2 linked regions of the Oreochromis niloticus genome follow. The protein of the gene in region 2 interacts with the protein of the main gene of each other region in a biochemical or structural test. Links are inferred from orthologs where the notes say so. Each region holds a gene or a part of one and is shown on either strand. Other genes may lie near its edges.

The links. The genes of interacting proteins can lie anywhere in the genome.
Region 1: the proteins of hip1rb (region 2) and cltb form a complex in vitro, tested with the Homo sapiens proteins (2 studies listed by BioGRID). The link is inferred for Oreochromis niloticus from reciprocal best matches to the Homo sapiens genes HIP1R and CLTB.

What each region holds. Positions count from the first base shown.
Region 1 is NC_031966.2:28,751,742-28,759,701, forward strand, and holds the start of cltb (clathrin light chain B), read left to right. Parts: upstream 1-4,897; 5' UTR 4,898-5,176; coding exon 5,177-5,330; intron 5,331-5,896; coding exon 5,897-5,940; intron 5,941-6,123; coding exon 6,124-6,241; intron 6,242-6,534; coding exon 6,535-6,646; intron 6,647-7,102; coding exon of another isoform or gene 7,103-7,123; intron 7,124-7,517; coding exon 7,518-7,571; intron 7,572-7,960. Other genes in the region: pdlim7 (PDZ and LIM domain protein 7), read right to left, coding at 1,488-1,517. UniProt on the Homo sapiens protein: Clathrin is the major protein of the polyhedral coat of coated pits and vesicles.
Region 2 is NC_031977.2:19,253,873-19,260,833, reverse strand, and holds the start of hip1rb (huntingtin interacting protein 1 related b), read left to right. Parts: upstream 1-3,961; 5' UTR 3,962-4,396; coding exon 4,397-4,489; intron 4,490-6,961. UniProt on the Homo sapiens protein: Component of clathrin-coated pits and vesicles, that may link the endocytic machinery to the actin cytoskeleton. Binds 3-phosphoinositides (via ENTH domain).

The DNA.
Region 1 (7,960 bases), on a different chromosome or scaffold from region 2:
AACCTGGGAGAAAGCTAAAGAGTCAGTAAGCTGGAGCAAGCAGATTCCCTCTCTGTTGGCAAACCCTACCCCCTCGATCCTGACTGTGACACAGGCAAGCCGTAGCCTCTGCTCACTCCTCAGAGGCTATATAAGGAATGTAAAACTACACCAAACTATTTCAGCCCAACACCCACATGAGTCACAGGGAGAGGAGGAGGAGGAGGAGGAGGGGGGGGGGGGGGGGGGGGGCAGAGGAGGGGGGGGGGGGGGGGGGGGGCAGAGGAGGATGGAGAGAGGTAACGTCAACGACCCATGGATTCTGGCACGGGCCAGGAGATTTTTTTTCTCCTCCTCTAAGTTCATTGCACTTGGGAAACGGCGGACGGCCACAAATGAAGCAAAGCACACAGACCTCTACATTCTTTCTGGAGGGCATGAAACATAGTGCAAGCAAGAAAAAAAAAAAAAAAAAGCCCTCAGCAATTATACTTTAACATCAAGCTCTTAAAGCAACAGAGCAGCTCACACACACTGTAAAGACTGGTGAGACAGTGGTGTGCTCACAGATAAGGAAAATCTAGCAGCACAGCCTTTAATCCAGCCTAGCACCCCAAATAATCCCACTAAGAAAACCTGCAAATCTGCTCAAGTTAATGGAAATCCTCAAAATAAAAAAAGACTTCCATTCGCATTCATTTACTGTCAATGCACCCTGTAGATCTGTACAAACCTGACTCTTTACTGGCAAAGCTTAAATTAGTTTTTCTCAGAGCCAGGGAAATGAATTATGATACAGAGGCGCATAAGGCGACACACAGAAAGACCTGCAGCAGGAGCAGCAGGTAATGGAGGCTAGATTTCACTGGTGATAAACACCACACTGAAAGCTGATTATTCAGACTGTATTAAAGCGGAGGAAGTAACAGCATTAATGTGAATGCACTCCAGTTAATTAAACACCACCCTGTATGATAAGCAAGAGAATAAAAGCATCAGTTTTAAGCCAATAAATGTGTGGCACTCATCCCCATGCTTATGGTGTTGCTATTTATAATCTTCTATATTATTGCCGCTGCTGCATTAGTTCTATAGGAACTCGTGTTGCTTTTAATGAGAGCTCAAATACACGAAATTTTTTGGTTAATACGCTACGCAATTACGAGCTTACACGGGTTTCTTTTAAATAACTTAAATGCGTCCAGCACACTAATTTCCCAGCGGTAATTAAAGGCCACGCTGTGAACGCTGTACCCCGGTTAACACCGCCGCAGACAGCCAGGTTTCCACTCGCGACAACACGGGACACGAAAACCGGACAAAACTCTCGGCTCTGACAAAGTAGTTAGCACAGCTACAGAGCAGCAGGGGCTCGGGGAAGATGGCCAGAAGCATGAGCCTGCACAGTTTGGAGCACCAGCTTAATCCATACAAACCTCCTCTGTGGGGGGGAAAAGTTGGTTTGAAGAAGTTACACCACACAAACACACAAAGATGCATTAGCTTACCTCTTGTGTCTCTCTGTGCTCGCCGGACATCACGAGTGTACCGGATTAAAAATAATTAAAAAATAAGATAATAAGTCGGTTGGCAAGCAGGCAACTTTTCAGACTTCCTTGAGGCAAACGTTAGGAAGCCGCCGTGGATCCCCCTGGTGAGCAGCAAACTCATTCCCTCAAATTCTTTTTAGCAGGACTCTGCTGAGACGTCAGAAGTCACATGGGCGGAGGCTTCATTTCACTCAGAGGCCGAGTTGCACTCATCAGCTGCTACTACTAAAGCCATTCATCACAGCCGCCATGAAACCGCTTTTCTCAATCACTCCGTCGGTTTTAACTAAAGGAAAATAAATAAATAAATGAATAAGAGTAGGCCTCAGAGATAAACATGAACTAATCCAGGACACCACCCCTGAAGAATAACTTTTTACACACGCTGTTTGCTGCACTTACTAGCTAAGCCATTATTATTTAATTGTAATAGGGTAACTTAATTTGACATGACCTATTCTAAATGGAGAGAGAAACAGTTTTACTAGTAAGTAAAACTAGTACCGTCTACAATAAACAACACAGTTAACACAGGTGGCTGCATGGTAAGAGCCTTACACTAAGAAATAGCGCAAGAGTCTGTAAAAAAAAAAAAAAAAAAAAGTGAAGTTAGTTTTAAAAAAACAGTCAAACTTAGACTGACAGTGTGTGTTGTCGTGCACATTTAATTAAGAAAGTCCGCAGACACGGTCAGCCGCAATCAACACTCTTTATTATCATGCGCATGTCATCAAGCGCAGTCCCTGAAACAGAAGTGGAGCTCTCGCTCTTTTGTATCTTTGTACATTCCAAAGAAAGGGGAGGAAGTCACAAACTGATCATAGCACATATCACGCCGCTCGCTGTGAAACCTAGTGGAACTTCCACTACAATGGGTATGCTGTTTCGTGCCCTTGGCGCTATCAGCACCTGCAAATGCAGTTGTTTTCTTCAACTACTGAGGCTGAAATAAGTTCATCTGGTTTTAGACTGTTCAGTGGAAGTTTTACATTACAGTGTCACAACTAAGCATACGCATAAGTGCCTATATACCTTAAATGAGAATAATAGAAATTTTCCATTACAGTGTGATTGCGTGAAAAAATAATATGCACACTATGCTGCATGAAGATATAATACAAAAATATGTCTGGGATCTTATGTGTGACAGGTGTGTTCACCTGTGTGTTCACCTGTCACAGCATGAGTACTGAGTACTTCATTTCGTTCTGTCACGTGTCTTTATGATGAGTGACATTAAAGAACCTTGGACCTGTTTTAAGCGGACTTTCTAACACAATAACTACACATTAATCATCCACAGGCGTTAAGTTAGGCAAAAAGACAAAACAAAACGTAATTCTTTCTGTTCACAAACAAAAACAGGTGTTAAAAAAACTTCAACTACAACTACAACTTCCGTCTCATCCTATCCCCAGCATCCTCCTCTGCCACACCAACCCTCTGCATGTTCTCCTTCACTACATCCATGAATCTCCTCTGTGGTCTTTTCCTCCTGCCTGGCAGGTCTATCTTCAATATCCTTCATCCACTATATCCGCTATCACTCCTCTGCATGTATCCAAACCATCTCAGCCTCGTCTGTTTAACTTTGTCCCCAAACTGTTTGTCCTGTGCTGTTTTTTTCCAATTATGGATTTTTAAATTGTACAAAACAACTCCACTATCCACTTCGACCATTACTTAAAGGTCATATGGGGTCATTTGGGGCCTTTTAGTAATGATTATAGATGCAAAGAAATTGTTTTATTAATCTATAATACCCAGTTAGGTCATAGGCTGTTAATAAGATCAATAAGTATCAAACAGGAGAAATATATACAGTCAAGAGGGGTATATACAAAAATAAGAGAAAGGCACACATTAGAGAACAAGTTGCAAAGTGCTTGGAAGCAGTGCAAAGAAAATACTTGGTCTGAATAGACCGTGTGTGAGTCACCTGAGTGATGAGGATTACTCAAACCATGGTGAGGTGAGTGGGCAGGGGTGGGGTGTGGGGGAATAGTGTTTGTTAACAGTCCGAATGGCCTGGGGGAAGAAGCTGTTTGTGAGTCTGGAGATGTAGGACCTGATTGACCTGAGGCCTTGACGTGGCCTCCAGGGTTGGCAGAGGAGAGTTTCCCCGATGCTGTCAGTGATGTGTAATGCACTTAGTAATGTGTAGCTCTTATGATTCTTTTTATTTTCCTTACAAGGTCACAGGTTCATTTCACATGGATTCACTAACGCTTCACTGTACTGCTTTTTGCTTTTCTGTTAGAGGCTAAACTGCCTTTCAGCACACTTGTGATAAAGTTTAAACTAATCAAAAAGATCCTTGTCACACATAGAAACAGAAGAGATTAAATGCATTACAACTGTGTGACGTTTCTGCTTTCTTGCGTCCTAATAAGACTCGGCATCCAAGGGAGTGGAGGAAGAATGGAGAGTGAAAGCCAAGAAGGAGCTTGAGGACTGGCACGTACACCAAAATGAGCAGATGGAGAAGAACAAGACCAACAACAGGTTAGGATCTGACCTCCCCACCCCACCACTAATGTGCAGAGAAGTAATCCATGATAGTGGATAGTGTTTGTTAACAGTCCGAATGGCCTGGGGGAAGAAGCTGTGAGTCTGGAGATGTAGGACCTGATTGACCTGAGGCCTTGACGTGGCCTCCAGGGTTGGCAGAGGAGAGCCAATGATTTTTTGGGTGGTGTTAATTACCCTCTGCACAGCCTACATTGGTGTTGTGGGTCCAGGTGAGATCGGTGGAGATGTGGGTTTCCAGAAACCTGAAGGTGGAGACAGATTCCACCCGTTCTCCATGTATGATGAGAGGAGAGTGGACCTGTCTGTGTCTCCTGAAGTCCATGATGAGCTCTTTTGTTTTAAGGACCTTCAGCTTCAGGTTATTTTCTGAGCACCAGTGGGACAAGTTTCTCTACCTCTGCCCTATATGCCTCCGTCAGAGATGAACCCAGTATGTCATCGGCATACTTGACGATGACATAGTCGGCAAAGTCGGACTGATTGAGGGCAGTTAGTGAGGAAATCTTTGATCCAGGAGCAAGTGACAGGAAGGATCTGAAGGGAGTCCAGTTAAGTGGTGAGGATGTCTGGTTCGTCTCCCTTTTAATGACCCACTCATGTAGATTTTGCTGAGGATAGTTATTTTCCTGCGGGGGGGGGGGGGGGGGGGGGGGGGGGACTGAATGCATAACCTTTATGCTTTTCCATTTCTGTCTATAAATAGTGCTATATAAGTTTTGTCGATATTTTTTATTACTGTTACCGCATTAGTACTACAACCCTTGGAGATGACAGTGCTGTGCTGCAAATGGCCAGCAGATGGCGACAAACTCCAACAAAATGTAAAGGTCCCCTCGGGGTGCTGCCCCTGCTCTATCATCATACACATACTGGTTGAACAAGTGAAGAAATAATGAATCATCAGTTAAGGCCTTTAATCGACGCGTAGATTGTTTATTCCGTATGCTTTACTAGCTGACTCTATTTTTCCAAGCAATATTTAGAATAGATAACACTCAAATCGAATTTTTAAGTTGTTACTATTAACGTTGCAGAGCTCGGTGCCCTGATTTTTGTGGCTTTAACGTTTAGCTAGCTAAGCAAGCTCAATCAAACTTGTACACTTTTTGTGAAAGATGGCTGACAACGGAGCGCACCCGACTGAAGAGGACCCGGCCGCCGCTTTCCTGGCTCAACAGGAGAATGAGATAGCGGGGATAGAAAACGATGGCGACGCATTTGGGACCCTAGAAGGAGCCGGTGTTCAGCAGCCGCAGACCGACAACTATGGCAAGTTTGTCCCTGAGCTAACGTCAGCTAATGTTTAGCTAACGAGCAAACAAAGCTAACTAGAGCTAGCTAATATTAATACCGGGACTTGCATCGGTAACTTGCTTAGTAGTTAACCAACAAAGGCCCCACCGCCATATGTTAACAACACCACTGTGTGATATAAGTGGTTAACACTCTCACTGCTTCCTATTTAGATTCAAACTAACAGTACGTTAGCCTTGTAGCTTAGCTAGCTGCGGGCAACGACAACGTAGGTTTTGTTAATTGGACGCTATCCCACATAACATTAGCTATGTGACACTAGCACCTTAAAACTAAGCTAAAGAGCAAGTGCTCCTGGCCTTTTAACCGACAAAGCAGCCCAGACAATATCAAGCAGGTGACCAAACAGGTGTTGCTGCATTTCTGAAGTCTTATCCGTTTCGAGACCAAAAGTGACACCACTTTAGTAGTAGCAGCGAGCATAAGTCACTCCAGATAGCAAGGAAGTGTAAGTGGATAAACTCCAAGAAGTTCATCTTAACTTATATCTGTGGGTTTTTCTTTGTTTAAAAAAATGCTAGACGGCTTTGAAGAACCTGCCACGTTGAATGGAGACCTGTTTCAGGTGAGCTTCAGTCTTGTCTGTAATACTTTATGATGTCTGTCTCTTTACATAACCTATGTGTGGTTGAGTTTTATTCTGAACACCGTAATCATGTGATGAAGGAGTGGGTTTGCTGTGGCGTTCACGCATGAATGAACCGAATGGCTGTTTCTAATGGTGTAAATGTTTTGCGTACTCCAACAGGAGTCCAATGGCCCAACAGACAGCTACGCAGCCATCGCCCAGGTGGATATCCAAAGGCAAGAACCTGAAAGTTTACGCAAATGGAGGGAGGAGCAGAAGGCACGCCTTGAAGCATTAGGTTGGTAACAATGTTTCCCTGATGCTGTCAGTGATAATATGTAATGCACTTAGTAATGTGTAGCTCTTATGATTCTTTTTATTTTCCTTACAAGGTCACAGGTTCATTTCACACGGATTCACTAACGCTTCACTGTACTGCTTTTTGCTTTTCTGTTAGAGGCTAAACTGCCTTTCAGCACACTTGTGATTAAGTTTAAACTAATCAGAAAAGATCCTTGTCACACATAGAAACAGAAGAGATTAAATGCATTACAACTGTGTGACGTTTCTGCTTTCTTGCGTCCTAATAAGACTCGGCATCCAAGGCAGCGGAGGAAGAATGGAGAGTGAAAGCCAAGAAGGAGCTTGAGGACTGGCACGTACACCAAAATGAGCAGATGGAGAAGAACAAGACCAACAACAGGTTAGGATCTGACCTCCCCACCCCACCACTAATGTGCAGAGAAGTAATCCATGATGGTGATGCTGTAATCACTCTACTACCTTTGTTTTGAATTTTGTATTGGTAGTTAGAGGTAGTTGTTCTTGGTAAAACAAACATTGTGGTTCAGTTTGCAAACATGCCTCGCTCTAAACTAAACGTTCAGTGGAGGTCTTTATAGATTCTTCTGAAGTGTAGGAAACTGTGCCTTTCTCTACAAGATTACATCCTAGACCTGTGTATGTTTTACAGCTGACTGATAAATTGACACGGTTGGTGGTATATGTGTTGAATTTACTGCACCAAGGTGATCACAACAGATTAAACCACTATAATATTTAATACTTGATTTAGCCTGGTTCCCCTCAGTGTCATAAACTGTGCAGTCTCTCTTTTCTTGACCAAGCTAACCAGTTATTCTCTCACACTTCCCAACAGACTCTGTCCAAGTCTGGCACGGTATCGCTCTGCATCTGTAGCTGTAGCTCTTTTTTTCTTCTTCTATTTTTTCTAAAGCACTGAGATACAATACTCTGATGAGATGTTAGTCTACAGCTGTGTGTCCAGTTCAAGTGTCCGGAAAGCAAAACAGGAAACTAGCTAGCTGAAAAGAATGCAGACAGCAGAAAGAAAATGCTAGAGTCACCCCCTCCCCATGCTACAGCAAAGACTGTCCTAGATTGTTTATGACACTAGTGCAAGATGTTTAGTCACTGTTTCCACCTCATTAGAAATGTTTCTCAGTTGCTTACAATAACCCAGACTCTAACACTTTTATGCTTGTTGACTGACACTGAAATTGTTCTCCTCTCCTTCTTTTTTCCTGCTTTCTTGGCCTTGCCCTGCACGCTAGGATTGCTGACAAGGCTTTCTACAAACAGCCCAACTCTGATGTTATAGGCTTTGTGTACGTTTAGAATTCTTCTGCTTTCTAATATTGTATGATCTGCCCCCTGAATGACCTCTTTTGCCCCCGATGCATGACCCAACACTGGAATTCTGTTTTTTTTCTTTTTTGTCAAAGGCTTCATTTGGCATTATTTGTGTTCTTTTTGACTGATGTGTGCCATTGCCCTAGATGTTTTTATATAAAAAAAAATATTAAATATGTCAACAATGAAGTGTATGTTGGGTATAAAGTATAGACTGTATGAGAGATGGATGTAGCTACCGTGAAGTCCAGTTACGAAGCTCTACCATGATTTGATATTGAGAAATTGTTAGCCAATGAGCTGCTTTCATCTGACCCTTAGAATAACCATGTTTGTTTGTTTGTTTGTTTGTTTGTTTTATGGA
Region 2 (6,961 bases):
TCATTAACAGTCTGACCTTGCATCATTTTTAATGGGAATCTGGTTGTAGAGAATTACCAGGTTTGTTCATAGGGGTTATTTGACAGTTAGGCAAAAAGCCACCTTGTTTCAGCCCATCCATAATCAGCAGCAGGGGACAATTATGACGCTAACGCTGGCACTATGTTTAACTCTGCTGCCATCTAGTGGATAATATCTGAAAATGCATACAGCACACAGGTCAGAAGTTTAAACATTCATCATGGGCATGAATGTCATGGTAATTTTTATTTCTTTAAAAAGTTCTTTTTCCAGAGTGAAATAAATGTAGAGGATCTTTGATGACCTTAAAAAAATCTAGGTCAAAGGTTTTAATCAGTCATACTAAAGGTTCTGCAATGTAGTTCAACTTGACAAGACCAAGGCCTATTATCTTCTCATTAGTGATCATGATTGACCACAACTGGTCAACACAACTCTTTGCAGCATAAAAAGTGTTTGTTTGACAGCATTCGTTGGAGTGACCAATACTCCAATGAGCAATTGGGAATTCCAAGGAACTCACTGAAGATCTAAGAATAAGAATTGTGGATTTACATAAGTTCAGAAGGTCTCTTGGAGCCGTTTTTAAACAACTGCAGATCATCAGTTCAAGCAGTTGTACACAGGTACAAGTTTTTCACATGTGTCACCACTTTGCTGAGGTCTGGAAAAAAGTGTCACCCTCAGATAAGAGGACATTGGTTGAGATGTTTAGAAACAATACAGGAACCACCAAAGGTCAAACCTGCCATGAACTGGAAACTGCTGGAACACCAGTATCACTGACCACAGTGAAGTGAGTCTTAAATCAGAGGTTGTTGACAAAGTAAGAAGCCCCTGTTCCAAACAAACGCCTTCAAGCTTGGCTGAAATTTGCAGTTCCCCACATGGACAAGCCAAACTCCTTCTTGAGAAAAGCTTAATGGTCAGATGAGACAAATATTGAGCTGTTTGGCCTCAATGACAAGAGGTATGTTTGGAGGAGTGAAGGTGAGGCTTTCAAGTCTGAGAACATTGTATCAGCTGTCAAGTGTGGTGGTGGCAGCATCGTGCTCCGGAGCTGTTTTGCTTTGTACAACATACTGGTACATTGTACAAAACTTGGTTAAAACTTGAACACAACTGGTTCAGACAGGACAATGATCCCAATGCACATCAAAACTGGTTTTGGAATAGATAAAGCAGGCTAACAGCAAACTTCTGGAATGACCTTTCCAAAGCCCCAACCTCAACCCTATGGAAAATTTGTAGACTGTGCTTAAAAGGCTCTGTGCCATCAAATCCACTCATTTAATGGAACCCCACCGATTCTGCAAAGAAGAGAATTCAAGTTTGCAGCAGAATTATCCCAGAGGCTTCTTGTTGGCTACCAAAAGTGTCTAGTCGAAGTGCAGCTTGTTTAGGGACATTTAACTATATATTAGTGGGGTTTTATGTATATGTCTGACCCTCTATGTATCCTTTGACCCTGTGTGGATTAAAGAAAATTACAAATAATTTAAAGTTTTACACCCAATTCTTTTCTTAGTCATTAAAGATGCTGTACAACCCTTTCAAATACTGTTCAAAGAAATCTTGAAAAAAACAAAATTACCACAACAATCTTGACCGTGATGAGTGTATTAATACCTCTGACTGCAACTGTACATGTTTTAGAGACTACATCATCTGAAGAGTGTTTCTTTGATGCACAAGAAATGTTGTGTGAGGAACTATTAATAAGAATTTTATTAATGATTACTATCTTTTCTGTTGTATATAATGTGCTTTATAGAGGCATGCACAGTTACCATCAGTTGTCCCATCTTTCCTTCACCAGAGTTCATATAATTATTCACACATAAGTCATCGGTCATGTCAGTGCATTACTCAGAATTCTTTCATACAGATGTCACGCAGTAATTATCCATGGATGTGACTTGCAGCTCGTCAGTTCAGATATCGTCAGTGTGTGCAGAGTTTACACCCGGGAGAAAAAATGTGAAAAAGCCAGTATGGCTTGCGAAGCTTTTTGTCTCCCATCTCCTGTTGTCCCATCGGCCTCTGTGTTTCTTTTACTGCATAGCTGGGAATAAGACATCATGTGTCCTACTCCACCCAGCAGAGTGAACATGAAATTCCAGTCTGACAACATTGAGCAACACTGAGATGTGAGCAGATCCTAAAAATATACATAAGAAAGGGAAACTGAAGGGTCAGTCTGCTGTCATAGAGAATATCTTGGTGGTGGTCGACTGATGAGAAATTGAACATCCAACAGATCAAGAAACGGCATCGGCGGCTTAAACCGGGACTTATAGTGCTCAGCACAACTCAGCGTAAACAAAACATACAACTGAGAACCTTCACAGACAAAACATACAACATTAGAATGCTTTGCATGTCTGACTGGTTCAGATTTTTATTGTGTCTTGATTGTCTGAACTGATCTGTTGCTGAAGATTTTGTCTGAAACTGTGAAATGATAAAAGATTGAAGACATCATGGTGACTGAGACAAACAAAAATCAGGTTTTTCCTCATACCTGTCTGCCAACCACAGGGAGTTAAGTCAGGAGAGGCATGTGACACAACACCCTATAACTCAGGAGTGGGCAACATTAGAAACTGGGACTGGTGTGGAAGGTGACAACCTTGCTATCACTGATTAATCTATAAGGGAGTAAGTATTAGGGACAGACCACTTAATTACTTAATTATAAAGAGAAATAAGAACACTGGAGTGAGTGAGAGTGACGAGAACAGGAGGAAACACATTAGTTTGTTGATCTGCTGTAGTTTAATACACCTGAGACTCAAAGTGAAGAGCAGTGATTTCACGCATACAGAACATTCTGTAGTCATGAAGTGGAAATGAATTGTAACCTGCGTTTAATCAGATCTTAAAAGACTAAACTATTGTTATTTTAAATGAACTGTGTGTGTTACGTTAGTACTGGGTTGGACCCCTTTTGCTTTCAGAGCTGTCTTAATTCTTCATGGCACAGATTCAACATGGTGCTGGAAACATTCCTCAGAGATTTTGATCCATGTTGACATGACAGCATCACACAGCTGCAGCGGATTTCTTTCATCCTAAAGGTGCTCTGTTGGACTCAAACTTCTAATTCCTCATTTTAATGTTACAGGAACAATCTAGACTCATCTGACCAGGCAACATTTTTCCAATTTTAGTGAGCACGTGCGAATTGTAGTTTCCTGTTCTTAGCTGATGGGAGACGCACCCAGTGCGGTCTTCTGCTGCTGTAGCTCATCTGCTTCGAGGTTTGACATGTTGTGCATTCAGAGATGCTCTTCTGCCGACTGCGGTTATTTGAGATACTTTTCCTTCCCAAGAGCTCAAAGCAGTTTGGCCTTTCATATCAACAAGACATTTTCACGCAGAAAACTTCTGTTCATTAGATATTTTCTCAGTGTAAGCCCTAGAGATGGCAGTGTGGAAAAATCACAGTAGATCAGTGGTTTCTGAAATACTCAAATACTCAGATAAACCTGTGTGGCACCAACAATCACGCCACATTTAAGGTCACTTAAATCTTTTTCCTTCCCCATTCTGATGCTCAGTGTGTGTCTACATGCCTGAATGCACCGAGTTGTTGTCATGTGATTGTCTGATTAAATATTTGACTTACACTGGTGTACCTTAGAAAGTGGGTGGTTCACACCTACCCTGCTTATACAAGCCCAACAGTTTTGTTTTATTTAATTTGATTTGTGGAATAATTTATTCCGCAAATATGAATGTGCATCTACAAAAACACATCTTAATCTGACTGTAATTTCCTGTTTTATGTCCTCCCAGCTGGATTGCTTAAAAAAATCAGACGCATTCTCGGGATTAAAAGATAATTTAGAAATAATCCTCATGGGCTTGGATGTCATTGAAATGGCGTCACCGTGCCGAGGCTGAGAGCGAGAGGCAGGCTCTCAAAAACAGCAAGAGCCAAAAACGCATACTTGGCAATCTTAAGGGAAGAGTCGACGTGAAACCTGCGCCGTAATCATTACAGCTGGAATAAAGAAAAGAAAAGAAAACGACCTGCATGTGGGAGGATGACTTTAGCGGCGGAGGACGCGCAGATGATTTCCTCCACCTTAGGGGGAGGATCTGTCCACGTAACGCGAGGCAAACTCACCGCATTTGCTCGCATTAGCGTTTCCTCCTTCAGCCGTGATGCATCACAGTAATGAAGCGGCAGCCTGGAGATGACCGTGGCACCCCCGCTCACAGCTCGCAGTCTACATAGAAGAGGAGACCGCTGCTGCACTTCGCTTTCATTTGGACGTTTTTGGTGATTTTTTTTGCGTAAAGAGGGGGAGTGACTGTTTCTTAATAAAGCCATCATCGTAAAAATTAAAGAAGTGAAAACTAGAGGATGAGCAGCTTAAGTCATGTACCCACACGGGTGAAATCCAAGCGGACTGAGGTCAGGCTCGGCGCGGAGAGGGATCATTTTGACAAGCAGCAGGTAAATATGCAGGAAGACACCGGGAAACGACGGGTTAATGCCCGCTGTGGGATGGACGGTAAACCTGGGTTTTATTCAGGCCTGCTGTGGCTTTAGAGGATGAGTGAATATCTACCGGATAGGCCACAATCCCTGTCCCCAAATTAAATGTTTAATGAGTGAATTAACTGCCCAGAAGCCGTCGCAGCTTTACCAATGGCCACTGAAAGGCCCCATGAGGGATGCCCCCTCTAGGTGTGTGTGTGTCGGACTATATGGCCAACACTGGAACATTGAGAGCTGAAAATAAGGACAAACTCTTTGGCATTGCGCTGTAGGTTTGACTATTTAAACACAATGATGAAAAACTGAAAGTGCCATTGCGCACTGAAGTCGGTCCATTGGTATCCCGGTATCATGCTCATCTAGTCCTTCCGGTTTGGCCACTTTTCCCCCAGTACAGGCATCTCCCTCCCCGTTTTTTTTTCTTTTTTCTAAACCACCTCCACTTTTCGTTTGGTTGTTGGTTGTTTTTTTTTTTTTGAAAACATGAAAAATAGACCCTTTTGACAAACTATCCTTCAACAACACCTCAGTTTCTTTTGAATGTGTGCAGTGAAGGAATGAAGGCTGGCCTCATTGCTCACACAACAGGTGCTTTGTGGTTTCTGCGCCTTACTCCACTGCACTGTTCCATACATGGCGAAGAGCTAACCCGGGCACTGGTGTATTCAGCGTGTTACTGGCTAAAGCCCTGGAGACACTGGGGCTACATTTTCAGGTGGAGAACACAGATACACAAGAGCCGAAGCGAGTTGAGTAACTAAACAAACAGCTGTCCGGCGGGTCAGGCTTACAGCCCTATTTTATCTGAACTGAGTGGAGCGTTTCCTCCGCTGGGCGTGTGTTTTACTCAGTGTTTTATTTGCTTTTGACGCACGTGTAGCGAGGTGGAGCTCAGGTTCTCAGACTACTGTGGCTCTGTCCTCTGGGCTGCTTAATTATAGTAAAATAAATAAATATAGCCTTACTGCCGTGCGTGTTTAGCGTCATTGATCAGAACAGCAAATGGCAAAAAGCAGGTGTGGCTTTGCTTTCAAAACTAGGCATTGTTGTCAGACTTGTAGTTTATGTTCCTTTGTGTCAAACGATGCATTGCACGTAAAATATGGGTTTCAGGGAGCTGCTCAAATTCTCAGCATAATCAGGTCTAGTCAAGGGATTTGGCACAGTGGGGATCATAAACTCTTAACGCAAAGACTTCAATGCGGGGTCCTCAGAAAGAAAAGCTGCTGGATGGTTTCAGTGTGTGCAGGTAGGAGGAGTCATTTCCAGGTTACTTAATATGACTAGAGGAGTGCCACAGGGTTCGCGTCGAGGGCCACTGTTATTTATTTTATGTATAAACAGTCTTTAGTAGGATCATACAGTTCAGGGCTCTGAAACTGAGTTAGTATCTCAATACAAGCACTTAAGAATTATAATTGACACTGTCTCTCTTTTACATCTCACATTCAGCAACTAGTGAGAAACTTTATTTCACCATTAAGTCCATTCTGTTCTTTTTATTGCCTTAACCTTTATGTCTTTGCTGGATTATAGTGATGGTGATATTTACATGCACATCTTCACAATGCTTACATATGCTGGTGCACGGAGATTTATTACAACCCTTAAAGCTTGTCTCATATCAGAAATGAGGTATAAGCCAATGACTTTTATTGATGACTGACTTTATTGCCGCTGATGTTTATAAATTCTTTATTTTATTGTTTTTGGGGTTTTTTTCACCAGCTGTGTTTTAGTGTAGTTAGTTTGTGTACTTCTTCCTCAGTGTGTACGCTGTTGATTGTACTGCTGTTTGTCTTGGCTTGGCCACTCTTGTGAGAGATTTTTTTTTTTTTTTATAATCTCCAGAGTTTTATTTTCCTGGTAAAATAAAGGTTAAACAAATAAATAAAATTAAAGCAGCGGTTGAGCAAATTTCCGGCTGCATTGTCAAACGTGCCCAGGCAAAATGCAAATGAACTCCTGGCAGAATGAGGAATCTGGACTCTTGTCTCAAATAGTGTGCTAATTGCATACAATTTATACAGCCTGTGTTGCTTTAAATGTTGCATAGTGTTGCTTAAATGTGTTCTTTTAATTTAATCCTGTTATGTTAAAGAGACTGCTGCATGTAGCAGGGAGAGCTGAGAGACTGAAGCTACTCTGGTGCTGCTTTTTATTTTTTTTAAACTTCCACTCTCTCTCTGTCCTCCTGTCTCGGCTTTTCATGTCGACCTCGGTACCAAGGTGAACAGTCTTGCACAGCGCCCTGTGTGTTTGTGTGCGCAATGTACTGTTTGCTTTCCCTCACTCCTGTTGCCTGAGTAAGCGCCCATGAGAGAGAGAGGGAGAGGGTAAAGGGGGGATGGGAGTAGGAAAGGGCAAATTCAGCTACTGAGTGGGAGTAGAGAGAATGAAAAGGTTTTTGGTTAGCTGTTTACACTT